3 linked regions of the Drosophila melanogaster genome follow. The protein of the gene in region 2 binds, or shares a complex with, the protein of the main gene of each other region. Each region holds a gene or a part of one and is shown on either strand. Other genes may lie near its edges. A codon is read from its position in the direction of its gene.

The links.
Region 1: the proteins of Ccz1 (region 2) and Mon1 are in contact, whole or in part, in a cryo-EM structure (PDB 8JBE), measured with the Drosophila melanogaster proteins. Residues at the interface, in NP_647835.1 of Drosophila melanogaster: Lys48 (codon at 1,974), Gly51 (codon at 1,983), Leu52 (codon at 1,986), Ile56 (codon at 1,998), Phe59 (codon at 2,007), Thr60 (codon at 2,010), Thr62 (codon at 2,080), Phe63 (codon at 2,083), Thr64 (codon at 2,086), Asp68 (codon at 2,098), Cys69 (codon at 2,101), Gln70 (codon at 2,104), Ala71 (codon at 2,107), Leu72 (codon at 2,110), His73 (codon at 2,113), Thr74 (codon at 2,116), Gln75 (codon at 2,119), Lys76 (codon at 2,122), Thr77 (codon at 2,125), Ala114 (codon at 2,236), Glu115 (codon at 2,239), Ala412 (codon at 3,193), Asp413 (codon at 3,196), Asn416 (codon at 3,205), Pro427 (codon at 3,238), Ala428 (codon at 3,241), Glu429 (codon at 3,244), Glu430 (codon at 3,247), Val431 (codon at 3,250), Gln432 (codon at 3,253); in NP_608868.1 of Drosophila melanogaster: Trp112 (codon at 2,128), Gln113 (codon at 2,131), Phe120 (codon at 2,152), Leu142 (codon at 2,218), Val145 (codon at 2,227), Ile146 (codon at 2,230), Leu149 (codon at 2,239), Phe152 (codon at 2,248), Val153 (codon at 2,251), Gln157 (codon at 2,263), Asp158 (codon at 2,266), Ala159 (codon at 2,269), Ile160 (codon at 2,272), Thr161 (codon at 2,275), Ser162 (codon at 2,278), Ile163 (codon at 2,281), His164 (codon at 2,284), Ala165 (codon at 2,287), Gly166 (codon at 2,290), Ile168 (codon at 2,296), Phe170 (codon at 2,302), Phe172 (codon at 2,308), Arg185 (codon at 2,347), Arg459 (codon at 3,287), Ser464 (codon at 3,302), Arg465 (codon at 3,305), Pro466 (codon at 3,308), Leu467 (codon at 3,311), Lys468 (codon at 3,314), Leu469 (codon at 3,317).
Region 3: the proteins of Ccz1 (region 2) and Bulli are in contact, whole or in part, in a cryo-EM structure (PDB 8JBE), measured with the Drosophila melanogaster proteins. Residues at the interface, in NP_647835.1 of Drosophila melanogaster: Tyr188 (codon at 2,458), Leu189 (codon at 2,461), Pro190 (codon at 2,464), Leu191 (codon at 2,467), Asp192 (codon at 2,470), Lys193 (codon at 2,473), Thr194 (codon at 2,476), Phe196 (codon at 2,482), Leu197 (codon at 2,485), Arg198 (codon at 2,488), Gln200 (codon at 2,494), Asn201 (codon at 2,497), Glu207 (codon at 2,515), Val223 (codon at 2,563), Leu224 (codon at 2,566), Cys225 (codon at 2,569), Gly226 (codon at 2,572), Lys228 (codon at 2,578), Tyr342 (codon at 2,983), Asn385 (codon at 3,112), Gln387 (codon at 3,118), Ser388 (codon at 3,121), Pro427 (codon at 3,238), Ala428 (codon at 3,241), Asn447 (codon at 3,298), Tyr448 (codon at 3,301), Arg449 (codon at 3,304), Asp479 (codon at 3,394), Phe483 (codon at 3,406), Lys485 (codon at 3,412); in NP_648047.2 of Drosophila melanogaster: Tyr395 (codon at 3,326), Gly397 (codon at 3,332), Phe407 (codon at 3,362), Tyr464 (codon at 3,595), Ser467 (codon at 3,604), Met470 (codon at 3,613), Leu471 (codon at 3,616), Gln474 (codon at 3,625), Asn477 (codon at 3,634), Asn498 (codon at 3,697), Arg499 (codon at 3,700), Asp502 (codon at 3,709), Thr503 (codon at 3,712), Arg505 (codon at 3,718), Arg506 (codon at 3,721), Leu507 (codon at 3,724), Tyr510 (codon at 3,733), Met512 (codon at 3,739), Asp530 (codon at 3,793), Thr531 (codon at 3,796), Ala532 (codon at 3,799), Gln535 (codon at 3,808), Ile538 (codon at 3,817), Asp539 (codon at 3,820), Arg543 (codon at 3,832), His547 (codon at 3,844), Ile550 (codon at 3,913), Lys559 (codon at 3,940), Asp562 (codon at 3,949), Leu566 (codon at 3,961).

The regions. Positions count from the first base shown.
Region 1 is NT_033779.5:4,848,957-4,853,168, forward strand, and holds Mon1 (monensin sensitivity 1), read left to right. Parts: upstream 1-1,684; 5' UTR 1,685-1,794; coding exon 1,795-2,387; intron 2,388-2,451; coding exon 2,452-2,603; intron 2,604-2,657; coding exon 2,658-3,499; 3' UTR 3,500-3,684; downstream 3,685-4,212. Other genes in the region: CG11927 (uncharacterized protein), read left to right, coding at 1-368; mRpS2 (mitochondrial ribosomal protein S2), read right to left, coding at 556-1,325, 1,383-1,407. UniProt on the Drosophila melanogaster protein: Part of the Mon1-Ccz1 guanyl-nucleotide exchange factor complex specific for Rab7 that promotes the exchange of GDP to GTP, converting Rab7 from an inactive GDP-bound form into an active GTP-bound form.
Region 2 is NT_037436.4:3,896,809-3,900,875, reverse strand, and holds Ccz1 (Caffeine, calcium, zinc sensitivity 1), read left to right. Parts: upstream 1-1,719; 5' UTR 1,720-1,777; coding exon 1,778-1,861; intron 1,862-1,916; coding exon 1,917-2,014; intron 2,015-2,078; coding exon 2,079-2,872; intron 2,873-2,935; coding exon 2,936-3,417; downstream 3,418-4,067. Other genes in the region: Ubi-p63E (Ubiquitin-63E), read left to right, coding at 1-1,408; Lamtor4 (late endosomal/lysosomal adaptor, MAPK and MTOR activator 4), read right to left, coding at 3,521-3,728, 3,785-3,939. UniProt on the Drosophila melanogaster protein: Part of the Mon1-Ccz1 guanyl-nucleotide exchange factor complex specific for Rab7 that promotes the exchange of GDP to GTP, converting Rab7 from an inactive GDP-bound form into an active GTP-bound form.
Region 3 is NT_037436.4:6,486,790-6,491,710, forward strand, and holds Bulli (bulli), read left to right. Parts: upstream 1-1,891; 5' UTR 1,892-1,971; coding exon 1,972-2,079; intron 2,080-2,140; coding exon 2,141-2,624; intron 2,625-2,680; coding exon 2,681-3,073; intron 3,074-3,128; coding exon 3,129-3,387; intron 3,388-3,449; coding exon 3,450-3,849; intron 3,850-3,909; coding exon 3,910-4,114; intron 4,115-4,180; coding exon 4,181-4,260; 3' UTR 4,261-4,421; downstream 4,422-4,921. Other genes in the region: CG10147 (uncharacterized protein), read right to left, coding at 146-1,006, 1,067-1,552; Vps8 (vacuolar protein sorting 8), read right to left, coding at 4,529-4,921. UniProt on the Drosophila melanogaster protein: Positive regulator of the Rab7 guanyl-nucleotide exchange activity of the Mon1-Ccz1 complex, possibly by enhancing its endosomal membrane association.

The sequences.
Region 1 (4,212 bases), on a different chromosome or scaffold from region 2:
AGCATGCAGAGCGCTGGGTGGAGCAGGACAAGAATGAAAAGGGCCAAGTGTTCGTGCGCAAGTCATCCAGCATCGGCTCGTGGGACATGTCCAAGGAGAGGCCGCCGAATGGTTTTGCGTCGATGCATGATTTCAAGAAGCAGCAAATGGATACGTTCTTCGGTCCCGGCCGTGCCATCAAAGGCGGTACGGATCTCTCCATCATTGGTACCTCAGCGCCGCCTCCGCCGCCACCTGACACCCCACCACAGATTACCAACTACTGGCCCTCTGGAAGTTCCAACAACACGGGGTCCAACTCCAATCCCTCGTATTTCAGCCACTACAGCAACAACTTTGTCAAGGGTGCCACTCTGCTGCCGCCCTAGAATAGCTATCCGAAACTAACCCAGGTCGTGGGTTTTCTTAAACACTATCAAATAGCATGGCACATGCACAAAGTTCTGCAATTTTGCAACCATATTTAGCAATTTCTTCTTCATCGTGGATTGACGGCCATTGGCATTTGTATTAAGATAAATGTAACAAAATCAACTTGACACTACTACTTGGCTATTACTTAGTTTTGCGACTGCGCCGCGGCTGGGATTCGTCCAGAGGCGGAAGGCCAAGGAGTTGGCGTCGTTCCCGCTTGCCACGCAGTATGGCTTCCTTGAAGAGGTTGCAATAGAGCTCCACTGCGGCCGGCGAGTCATCGTTGCCGGGCACCGGATAGGTGATCAGGTTGGGATTGCAATTGCTGTCCACTATGCCAATCGTTGGTATGGCCATTTTGGCGGCGTCCCGAACCGCCGTGTGCTGAGCCATAACGTTGTTTTGAGTGTTGAGGAAAATGCAAAGATCGGGCAGCCTGGTGACCGCATCGAATTGCACATTGGCATTGGTAAAGATGCCGCCGCGCCAAAAGCGAGTGTGCGAGAATTCACCGGCCTCCTGGGCCTTTCGCTCCACGAGATGTGAGTTCATGGCGTTGCGGTTGAAGAACAGAATGATGCCATCTCGGAAGGCAATGTGTGCGGCAAAGTTGAGGGCATCGCGCAGATGTGATGCCGTCTTGTCCAGATCGAAGATCAGATGACCTAATCGACTGCCGAACAAGTACGGACGCATTCGGTCGTCCAGGGAGCCCTCCTTGTGGCCATAGTGCACTCGGGCATTGAAGAGGTCGCGCACGGTGAACAGGTTGTGCACTTGGAAGTAGTCCGGATGCTTCAGAATCCGCTGTTCCACCAGGGCGATGTCCTCCGGTTCCGTTTCCACCGATTGCTCCGGCTGTGTGCTCTGCAGGCGTCGTGGCAGACCGCACATCTGACCAAAGCGGGGTACTACCAAGGGAAAGCATGTATAATTTGGTTTCCTTGATGTTTTAATTGATTACTTACGGTTGGCAAACGATTTTCTCAACATTTTGGAGCGGCTCGTGTTTTCATAACCTATGTTCTTCTTCTTTTCCGTCGATTTTGGTAAACAGCTGGTGGGTAGTGTTGGATAGAAGTGTTTCTATAAGAGGTCTTAAAACAAAAACAAAATAACAGATATAAAAATTTAATTATAATTATTAAGATAAAGTAATTCAAAATCCATATATCAAATTAACTTATTTTTCATAACATTTAAGAATGAATAAGCCTATCTTATGGTGTGTTTTCCGGAACACCCTTTATTTCACCTTCTGCTTCGGACAGTGTTGGGAAATCCATTCCAGCTGTAATGATTTAGTTGTAAATTTATGATATTGCTAAATATTGGCAAACTGCAATGTTCCAGCGACTGAAATAGTTAAACGAATTCGAAATGGAAGTAGAGCAGACGTCAGTCAGGTCGGACACGAACTCCACCTGCGAGTATCTAGACGCAGAGGGCGATCCGGAGTCCCCAAATCTCTATCAAGAGGCGGATCCCGACCAGGAGGCCGAGCAACAAAACCATAGTATTATCTCTGAGCTAAGAGATGGCCTGGGCACCATGCGAGATAACAGTGCCCTCAGTCCGGAGCCGGGGCAGGAGAACAAGGGACTGGCTGCCTCTGTGGAGTCTCTGGCATTGAGCACCTCGACCAGCGCCAAAACAGAGGACTCCATTGGCGGGGGACTGGAGGAGGAATACGATTACCAGCACGACAGTCTGTGGCAGGGCCAAAAGAAACACATCTTCATACTAAGCGAGGCGGGAAAGCCAATCTTCTCGCTACACGGCAATGAGGATAAACTGGCCACGCTTTTCGGTGTCATTCAGGCACTGGTAAGCTTCGTCCAAATGGGCCAGGATGCTATTACCTCCATTCATGCGGGCGGCATTAAGTTCGCTTTCATGCAACGCAGCTCGCTCATCCTGGTGGCTGCCAGCAGGAGCAACATGAGTGTGCAGCAGCTGCAGCTTCAACTGGGGTGAGTCAATTATAACGCACCTGATAGCAATGCTAACTAATGGGAACTTCCCATTCTTTACCAGGGATGTCTACAATCAAATATTGTCCATTCTGACGTATTCACACATGACGAAAATCTTTGAGAGGCGCAAGAACTTTGATCTGAGGAGACTGCTCTCCGGCAGCGAACGATTGTTCTACAATCTGTTGGCGAACGACAGTAGTAGTGCCAAGGGTAAGGATATCTAAGCATATCCAAATTGCTTAATTTCTCAACGACTTCTTTTAGTGTCCAACAACATCTTCACATTTTTGACCAACTCAATTCGCGTCTTCCCATTGCCCACAACGATACGATCGCAAATCACCAGCGCCATTCAGAGCAACTGCTCCAAGATCAAGAACCTGGTGTTTGCCGTGCTAATTGCCAATAACAAACTGATAGCATTGGTGCGCATGAAGAAGTACTCCATCCATCCGGCTGATTTGCGTCTGATCTTCAACCTGGTAGAGTGCTCCGAGTCCTTCAAGAGCTCCGAGAACTGGTCACCAATTTGCCTGCCCAAGTTCGACATGAATGGGTATCTGCATGCGCATGTCTCGTACCTGGCGGATGATTGCCAGGCCTGTTTGCTCCTGCTGTCCGTGGACAGAGATGCCTTTTTCACGCTGGCAGAGGCCAAGGCAAAGATCACGGAGAAGCTACGCAAAAGCCACTGCTTGGAAGCCATCAACGAGGAGCTGCAGCAGCCGTTCAATGCGAAACTCTACCAACAGGTTGTGGGAATCCCCGAGCTGCGGCACTTTCTTTACAAGCCCAAGAGCACAGCTCAACTGCTGTGTCCCATGCTCAGGCATCCGTACAAATCTCTGACGGAGCTGGAGCGCCTGGAGGCCATCTACTGCGACTTGCTGCATCGCATCCACAACAGTAGTCGCCCGCTGAAGCTTATCTACGAGATGAAGGAGCGCGAGGTGGTCCTGGCCTGGGCAACCGGAACCTACGAACTGTACGCCATATTCGAGCCGGTTGTGGACAAAGCCACTGTGATCAAGTACGTGGACAAGCTGATCAAGTGGATCGAGAAGGAGTACGACGTGTACTTTATACGAAACCATGCCACATTCTAAGCTTTAGCGCGCTTCGCTAGGGCATTGTGAGATATATGACTATTTTTTTATTGCTCCTCTGCCAATCGAACCAGGACAAAGTTGTTGTGCTGCAGTTGTGACGGCGTTTGTTTAACTGAACCTAGTATACCAGAATCACGCATGTACATTTGTAATTTAAAACTTTAAGTAAATTCTAAAACTTTATAGATAGTTTATCTCTTAGTGGATCTATAGAAAACTGAGTTCTGTCGAAAGGTTCGAGTCACCGCTAGCGCAGCATATCCTTTAAGTTCGGACTCAAACCAAACCGGTTATCTTCGGGGATGGACTTTCGAGAGCGAAAGGAATCGCAGAGAGAGCTTTTGCGGAATCAACAACTTAACGCGCGCACTCGCATCGGCGACCCAATCGCAAGGATTACGATGTGACTGGTGCTGGCCGACCGCTCGGAGAACACAATTGAGTACAGGACACAAACGCGAACGCACACGCTTCGATTGTGGGCGCTGCCACCGGAAATCCAAAGTTGAACCAGTGCCTGACCGAAAAGAATTACAAAATAATTGCTAAAACCGATGAGTATGTGAAAAATGTGGAAAATTGCGTGGTGCTAGATAGAAAATGCCCAGCATAAAATGGAAAATTACGATGCAAACGCGGCGTTTTTTGTTTCCACCTATTTAAGTTGCTCGAAACGGAGCAGCTTTTCAACATGCGCCACGCATTTTTTG
Region 2 (4,067 bases):
TCACTTGGTCCTTCGTCTTCGTGGTGGTATGCAGATCTTCGTGAAGACTTTGACCGGAAAGACCATCACCCTCGAGGTAGAGCCATCGGACACAATTGAGAATGTTAAGGCTAAGATCCAAGACAAGGAGGGAATTCCCCCAGATCAGCAGCGTCTGATCTTCGCCGGCAAGCAGCTTGAGGATGGACGCACCCTGTCCGATTACAACATCCAGAAGGAGTCCACCCTTCACTTGGTCCTTCGTCTCCGTGGTGGTATGCAGATCTTCGTGAAGACTTTGACCGGAAAGACCATCACCCTCGAGGTAGAGCCATCGGACACCATTGAGAATGTGAAGGCCAAGATTCAGGATAAGGAGGGAATCCCCCCAGATCAGCAGCGTCTGATCTTCGCCGGCAAGCAGCTTGAGGATGGACGCACCCTGTCCGATTACAACATCCAGAAGGAGTCCACCCTTCACTTGGTCCTTCGTCTCCGTGGTGGTATGCAGATCTTCGTGAAGACTTTGACCGGAAAGACCATCACCCTCGAGGTAGAGCCTTCGGACACCATTGAGAATGTTAAGGCTAAGATCCAAGACAAGGAGGGAATTCCCCCAGATCAGCAGCGTCTGATCTTCGCCGGCAAGCAGCTTGAGGATGGACGCACCCTGTCCGATTACAACATCCAGAAGGAGTCCACCCTTCACTTGGTCCTTCGTCTTCGTGGTGGTATGCAGATCTTCGTGAAGACTTTGACCGGAAAGACCATCACCCTCGAGGTAGAGCCATCGGACACAATTGAGAATGTTAAGGCTAAGATCCAAGACAAGGAGGGAATTCCCCCAGATCAGCAGCGTCTGATCTTCGCCGGCAAGCAGCTTGAGGATGGACGCACCCTGTCCGATTACAACATCCAGAAGGAGTCCACCCTTCACTTGGTCCTTCGTCTCCGTGGTGGTATGCAGATCTTCGTGAAGACTTTGACCGGAAAGACCATCACCCTCGAGGTAGAGCCTTCGGACACCATTGAGAATGTTAAGGCTAAGATCCAAGACAAGGAGGGAATTCCCCCAGATCAGCAGCGTCTGATCTTCGCCGGCAAGCAGCTTGAGGATGGACGCACCCTGTCCGATTACAACATCCAGAAGGAGTCCACCCTTCACTTGGTCCTTCGTCTCCGTGGTGGTATGCAGATCTTCGTGAAGACTTTGACCGGAAAGACCATCACCCTCGAGGTAGAGCCCTCGGACACCATTGAGAATGTTAAGGCTAAGATCCAAGACAAGGAGGGAATTCCCCCAGATCAGCAGCGTCTGATCTTCGCCGGCAAGCAGCTTGAGGATGGACGCACCCTGTCCGATTACAACATCCAGAAGGAATCGACCCTTCACTTGGTGCTCCGTCTCCGTGGAGGAATCCAGGCTTAAACTAAATACATTTCCAAATAAACACAATTTAGCACGCACTTCACTCTAAATAAATATGAGGAGATTATGGATGGCCACTTTCCTTTCTGCATTGTCAAAAGGGAAGACATCAGAAAAATTCTAAATTTCAGTAAACGCCATGACATAAATTTTATTAAATCTATTAAATTCCAAAATAAATGAAAAAGCTTTAAATTCGCTTATTAATTGTGTGGTATTTTTTTTAATTTGGTACTGGAAACGTTTGGTATATACTAGCACACTACATTTGGTAAAATGTAACCCTGGTTGGCAAACACGGACGCGTTAGTACCTTTTCATTATTTACCTTTGGCCAAAATAAATACTTTTAATTCTGTGCGGAAAGAAATGGCTAAATTATTGCAACGCGTAGAAATTACGTTACGCAGCTTTTACATTTTTAACTCGACTTTTGGCCAAGTTGAAGGCGAGGTTGGCAAATCAATTTTAAGGCTAAGAAACGCCCCTAATGAGTAATTTTTTTCAGGAACACAAGAAGGTTTTGTTTTACCATCCAAATGACATTGAATTAAATACGAAAATCAAAGATGTGGGACTAAGTGAGGCCATCATAAGGTTCACTGGGTATTTATGGAACTTTTTACATAGAGGGAAGTGGGTAATAATACAGAGTTTGCTGTACTTGCAGAACTTTTACATCTGAAGATGATTGCCAGGCCTTGCATACCCAGAAAACCACACAACTCTTCTACCAACCCGAGCCAGGGTATTGGTTAGTACTGGTCCTGAATGTTCCCAAGGAGGTGCGCTTAAAGGAGGGCGTGGAGGTGGCCGATTATCGGGGTGCCGAGATCTCCGACAGGATTTATAGAGCAATACTTAGACAATGCTATCAAATGTTTCGCTTTCAAAACGGATGTTTCTCCTCCTGCGGAAGTGAAGAACCTAATCCGGATAAGCGTAGGGAACTGCTCTGCCAGAAGCTACTCCAGTTCTATGATCAGCATCTGACCAACCTGAGGGATCCCGCGCAATGTGATATCATCGATATGCTGCATTCCATTCAGTATCTGCCATTGGATAAAACGCTCTTCTTGCGGGCCCAAAACTTTGGCACCCTGTGCGAGACCTTCCCCGACATCAAGGAGAGCATAATGCTCTACCAGGAGCAGGTCCTTTGTGGCGGAAAACTTAGCCCGGAGGATCTGCACTGCGTGCACTCGTATGTCGTGCAACACGTGCTGAAAGTCGAGGCCAGCAGTTCCACCATTGCAGTTTCTCCTTCACTAAAGCGAAGCATAAGTGAATGCCAGGTGGGCGGATTCGTAAGAAGTCGTCAGAAGGTCGCAGGAGATGAACATGACGCTGTGAATGAGGAAGATCATCCAATGAAGGTCTATGTGACACTGGACAAGGAGGCCAAACCCTACTACTTGCTCATCTACCGCGCTTTGCACATAACTCTGTGTCTGTTTCTGAATGGTATGTTAAGGATTAGAACTAAATAGCCAAAATAATCAACTTGAAACATTCCACATTTGTCAGCTGACCAGGTTGCGCCGAAACAAGATCTCTACGACGATCTCCATGCCTACATGGCTCCCCAACTGACTTCGTTGGCCCGGGACATATCCAGCGAGTTGACAAAGGAGGCGGTGGGTGCTGCAGGCCAGGACAACTCCAGCGGGAACAGCGAAACGGCGCCGAAGTACTTGTTCATTAACGAACAAAGCCTGCAGCACCACACGAACTTTCAGAGGCACCTGCCCCAAGGGCTGCCCCGCAATGTGCTTAGTATCATTGCGGACTTGGCCAATGGCAGTGGCAAGGCGGAAATGGAGAGTGCTCCTGCCGAGGAAGTTCAGGTCAAGACCACCAATGACTATTGGATTGTGAAGCGGCGCTGTAACTACAGGCAGTACTATGTGATCCTGTGCAATAGCAAGGCCACCTTGCTGGACGTCACCCAGGAAGCGAGGCGCATTTTCGAGCAAGAGCTCACAGATGATGTATTTTTTGACAAATAAAGAGGAGGATTAGGTAAATAATGGGAGTGCGCCAATTGTGGGGTCTTTGTCCGGTTGCTTGCCAACAGAATCTGCAAGTGGGTCGGACATCCGACGACGGATTTCAAGCCAGCACTGCCCCGGAATCGCTGGCATCGTTATACACGCTGTTCGACGAGGAGGAGCTCGTGGTCGTGGTGACGCCATTCTGCGATTTGCTGATCTTAATGATGTATATTCTACGGTTGGACATGCAGATGCTGTAGTAGTGATGCTCGTAATCGATGGTGATCCTCTCGCAGCTGCTGCTCGGCATGAAGGACTCGTCGATGCTACAATATAGGCGTAATTATTACAAAATTCCTTCATCCTTTGTTTAAAAACGCACGTCTCTGTGAGATTTAGTAATCCCATTATCACATTTGCACTGCGCTCATCGTTCTTCAGATCTCCGCCGGACTCCAGAACTGCTCCATCTTCCTTTAGTATCAGATAGCCAATTTGATTGGGCACAATCAACTTTTCCCTGTCCATTTTCAACATATTTATTTATTTATCTTTCGCACCCACACCCACCAGTGTGACCGGACTAGATCCATTTAGATACCAAATCGGTAGCCTGGCAGCCCGGTTTCAGTGTTGTAAATTGCCACATGCGCGCCATTGACACA
Region 3 (4,921 bases), 2.6 Mb from region 2:
CTCTTCCCTGCTCTTCTAATTCGTTATCGTAATAAATCCCTCAATAAAGGAGGTATGTAAATATTAATTAAGTTGTGAGTCAAGTAAAATACGATATGAATGTTGTACTTTCCACTGAACCTAAAATAGAAATATGTTAACTTCTTTAACCCATGCTAGTCAGTTGCAGCAGAGCACAAGCGGTCTGCTGATTATCCCCCGATTCGTGGACCTTGCGATGGGTGCGCAAGGCAGAGGGTTGTATAAATTTCTTGCCGCAAACGTGACACTCAAAGTTCTTTTCGCCAGTGTGGGTCATTTCGTGATATTTTCGCGTGTCGGTGGTGGCAAATTTCTTTTCGCAATAGCTGCAGGCATAATCTCGTGCCTTCTCGTGGATTGCGCGGATATGTTTCTTAAGACTCGTTGAGCTGTTGCAAACTTTGGGGCAATCCTTGCAGGACCAGGTCCTTTCCAGAGTATGATAGTTGATATGCAGTCGCAGTTCGTTTTTGGTCGTCTTCTTGAGACCACAGTAGGGGCAACTAAAGTTCTTTATGCCCTGGTGACGCATCATGTGGATCTTGAGTTTCTCCGTGCTATAGAATCGCATAGAACATTCCGGCAGTTCGCAGGCATATGGCAATACCAGCTGGTCACCGTGTGTGAACCGATGCTGGCTTAGGGCAGAGCCAGTCTTGAACACCCGACCACAGAACTCGCACATATGGGTCTTCAAAGGCTTGCCAATGTCGTGAGCCTTGCTTTGGTGGTATTTCAGCGAGGCCTTGTGCCGGTACATCCTGTTGCAGCCCTCCTCCTCGCAGACAAACCGCATGCCCACTTCCGAGTGCTCTAGCTCGTGCTGCCTGAGGTTCTCGAATCGGTTGAAAGCTTCCTCGCATCCGGGCTCAGTGCAATGATACAGCATGTGTCCCTGGTGTTCCTTCTTGTGCAGAATCAAGCGTTTCTCCTCTCGAAACTCGTCGGCGCACAAGTCGCACTTGTATGTGGTCAATGGCGGCTCCTGAAATCATTGAATACAACTTAACTTACACTCCTGTTTAAACCTTAAACCCAAACTCACTTCCAAAGCTTTCTTTTCCGTTTCCGGGGGTTGCTGGACATTTTCGGTGAAGGTATGGAATACCAAGGTTGGCGGTGCCTGTTCAGCGACTATTGGGGTATTTTGTGCACTCAAATTGGTATCACATATAATCATCTCCGGCGGCTCCAATAGAAGTTCTTCCAGCTCCAGCTCCTCTTCCTCATCTTCATCGACCTCGTAAACAGGTTTCCTGCGATCTATTTTCTTCCAAGTTACCAGACTTTTAGAACGCCACTTATTGTCGGCTATAATGCAAAGTGCTCGGAAGGAGTGGAACTTCTCCAGAAGCTCGTAGCACTCCGAGCAAATTTCGCTGGGCAAAATATCCTGGTCATCAGGATCCACCACCAAATTTGTGCACTCCGAAAATTTGACGGCGAGATATGGATGGTGCAGCAAATTGTAGGCCTCGTCGTCTCTAGCCACATCGCTGGAGCATACGCGGCATTTGTCCAGGTGTCCCATTAAGTGGTTGAATCAAAGTTATTGAGACCTTTTTTTAAATTCACAAGAAAAAATATTTTTCTGTGTCCTGTCTGCCGTTTTTTCTTATCGCTGTTGTTTGTATACTAAACAGCTGATAGGGCTGGCAAAAATACCGCTGATAGCAATAGTGATGGCAAATAATAGCGTGAGTTGGAAGGGGTTAAATAAATATAGTATAAATGTTTAAAAATATCTACTGTAAGCATACCACAAATAATGTTAAATACATTTATATTTTTAATCCTTGCACGTACAATAAATGAAATTAATCGTGACTTAAAACAGCTTGTTACTCGTGGCACATCTCTAGCACCCTGTGCTAAAGTCACATCTCTAATGGGGGGTGTATAAAAAGTTGTGCTGTTGCAGTTTGTTATTTATTTTTTTCCAGCACAACAATGGATAATTCCAATGGAATCCACTACATTGAGCTAACCCCAAATCCCATACGATTTGATGCTGTCAGCCAACTAACCAATGTGTTTTTCGATGACTCCAACAAGCAGGTATAGTTAAAACATGTTAAAAATCCATGTTGATGATGGCTAAAAATCTATATCTGTAAAGATATTTGCTGTTCGGTCTGGAGGAGCTACTGGTGTGGTGGTCAAAGGTCCTGGATCTCCCGACGATGTCGTCATCTCCTTTTGCATGAGCGACCGTGGCGGTGCCATAAGGTCCATTAAGTTCTCGCCGGACAACCAAATCTTGGCCGTTCAGCGAAAGGAGAATTCCGTGGAGTTCATATGTTTTCAGGGAGATCAGCCTCTGCTGCAGGACATCATTACCCACCAGGTGAAGACTCTGATCCATGGCTTTGTTTGGGTCCACAATCGAGAGGTGGCCCTGATTTCGAATACCGGCGTGGAGGTCTACACCGTAGTTCCTGAGAAGCGACAGGTGCGCTCTGTGAAATCCCTGAGCATTGGCATCAAGTGGTTCGCCTGGTGCTGCGATGCCAATGTGGCTCTACTGTGCACCAGCGAAGGAAACTCCCTGATTCCGGTGCTGGTCAAGCAGAAAGTAATCACCAAGCTGCCCAAAGTGGACTGTAAGTAATCCTTTTGGGTTAAAATCCTTTAAAAGCGTTTTAATCTTTCCTTTCAGTGGGCAATCCAAGTCGCGATGTCCAGGAGAGCAAGGTCACCTTAGGCCAAGTTTACGGCGTGCTGGCTGTGCTTATCCTCCAGTCAAATAGCACCACCGGACTGATGGAAGTCGAGGTGCACTTGCTCAATGGACCGGGCTTGGCTCCACGCAAGTGCCATGTGCTCCGCTTAAGTCTGCTTGGTCGCTTCGCCATCAACACGGTGGATAATCTGATTGTGGTGCACCATCAAGCTTCGGGCACTTCGCTGCTATTCGACATCTCCCTGCCCGGAGAGGTGATCAATGAAATAACCTATCATACACCCATAACTCCAGGGCGCTCCATCAAACCGTTTGGCCTGAAACTGCCCTCACTTTCGCCTGATGGACAAATCTTGCAGTGCGAGTTGTGTAAGTTCTTTAAATATCCAAAAAGTTACTTTATTTGACACTTATACCCATGCAGATTCCACGCACTGGGTACTGTTCCAGCCAAATATTGTAATCGATGCCAAGTTGGGTTGCATGTGGTTTTTGAACCTCTGCATTGAACCATTGTGCCAACTGATTTCGGATCGCATTCGACTTACAGAATTCCTGCTGCAACGCAGCAATGGCAAGCAGATGCTATTAAAAGTCATTGGACAATTGGTAGATGATCAGTATAAGGGAACTCTATTGCCAGTCCTAGAGACCATCTTCAGTCGGATTAACAAGATCTATGCGTAAGTTAAAGACGTTATTTTCATCAATATATATTTATTACATTATGCATGGTATACTTTAGGTCTTGGGTCCAGTTGGAGCTGCAAAATCAAACCGCTCAACCGTCGAACGTAAAAACTACTACCCTGAAACAGAGCACACCGCCCATTGTGCTCATTGAGCAACTGGATATGGTGCAAATCTTTCAGCGCATAGCTCGTCGCCCGTACACGGAATCCATATTGATGCTCTACCTGCAATCCCTGAACAAGTTCAACATTGCCGCCCAGGAGGAGCTGAGCAAGATGATCATCAGCGAGCTGATCTCCAATCGCAGCTTCGACACCTTGCGACGCTTGGTCAGCTATTCAATGCTGCTGGAATCCAAGTCGGTGGCTTGCTTTTTGTTGTCGCATTCAAATGTGGATACGGCGATATCCCAGGTGGCCATCGATATGCTGGGCAGGATTGAAGCACATGAGGTGGATATAACTATAATTAGATATTTTTACTAAGATGTATGAACTAACAATATTTTTTAGATCATCATTGAAGTAATGCTGGGTCAAGGCAAAGTTATTGATGCCTTAAGGCTGGCTAAGAATTCAATGGGTCTGGAAAAAGTGCCAGCTCGCAAGTTTCTGGAGGCGGCTCATAAGACAAAGGATGATCTAATATTCCACAGCGTATACCGCTTTTTCCAAATGAGAAACCTGAAACTTTATGAAACCCTATCTTTTCCCAAGGGTAAGCTAATTTGTAATCTTGAATTGCGGCATCACTTTTTAAACCTTTGAATTTCTTATTTAACAGCTGAACAATGCACGGAATTCATACAGCATTATAATAACACTTTTCCTGCTGATAATCCTACCAGACAGCCTGTAAGCTAAAGGAAAAATGGCAATTTGTGATTAATATAATTTAAAGTGTGCTTTAGAAAGTATAAACATACTGAAGTATAAACATACTTTTGTATTGAATTGTAAATATATCCAATTGAAATGATGATCATTTTATACGAAAGTAAAGGAATGACTCAAACAAGAACCATAAAAATACGGATTTTTCATGCAATTTTTTTACTTACACATACAATACACATAGTTGTACAATAAATACATAGAGGAATAAATGGAATATACAAAAAGGACGATGAAACTATATAAATCGCCTGGGCGGTGCCTTCAGTTGCAAGGCACCCATTTCCAAGGACGAGGAAATGCTGATTAGATTTTTATTTGGCCGCGGCAAACCAATACTTTGATCTGGAATGGCCGTAAAGCACCGTGGACATTCTTCAAACTGAGTCTCCGACTCCTCCATGCACTGCTCGTGTATGCCATGCCCACATCCGCCAAATATTAGCACCTGGCTGTGATCGTACAGCCTTTGGCGACACATGGAGCACTTTGTGGTGGTCACCCAAAGTCCACGATGCGCATGCTGATAGCGCTTGACGAACTTCAGGTGAAGATCTTGACACAGGGCTCCAGCAGATGCTCGCAAAGCCTCCGTTTTGTGCCTCGAACTGTCCAGCATACCCATTAGAAG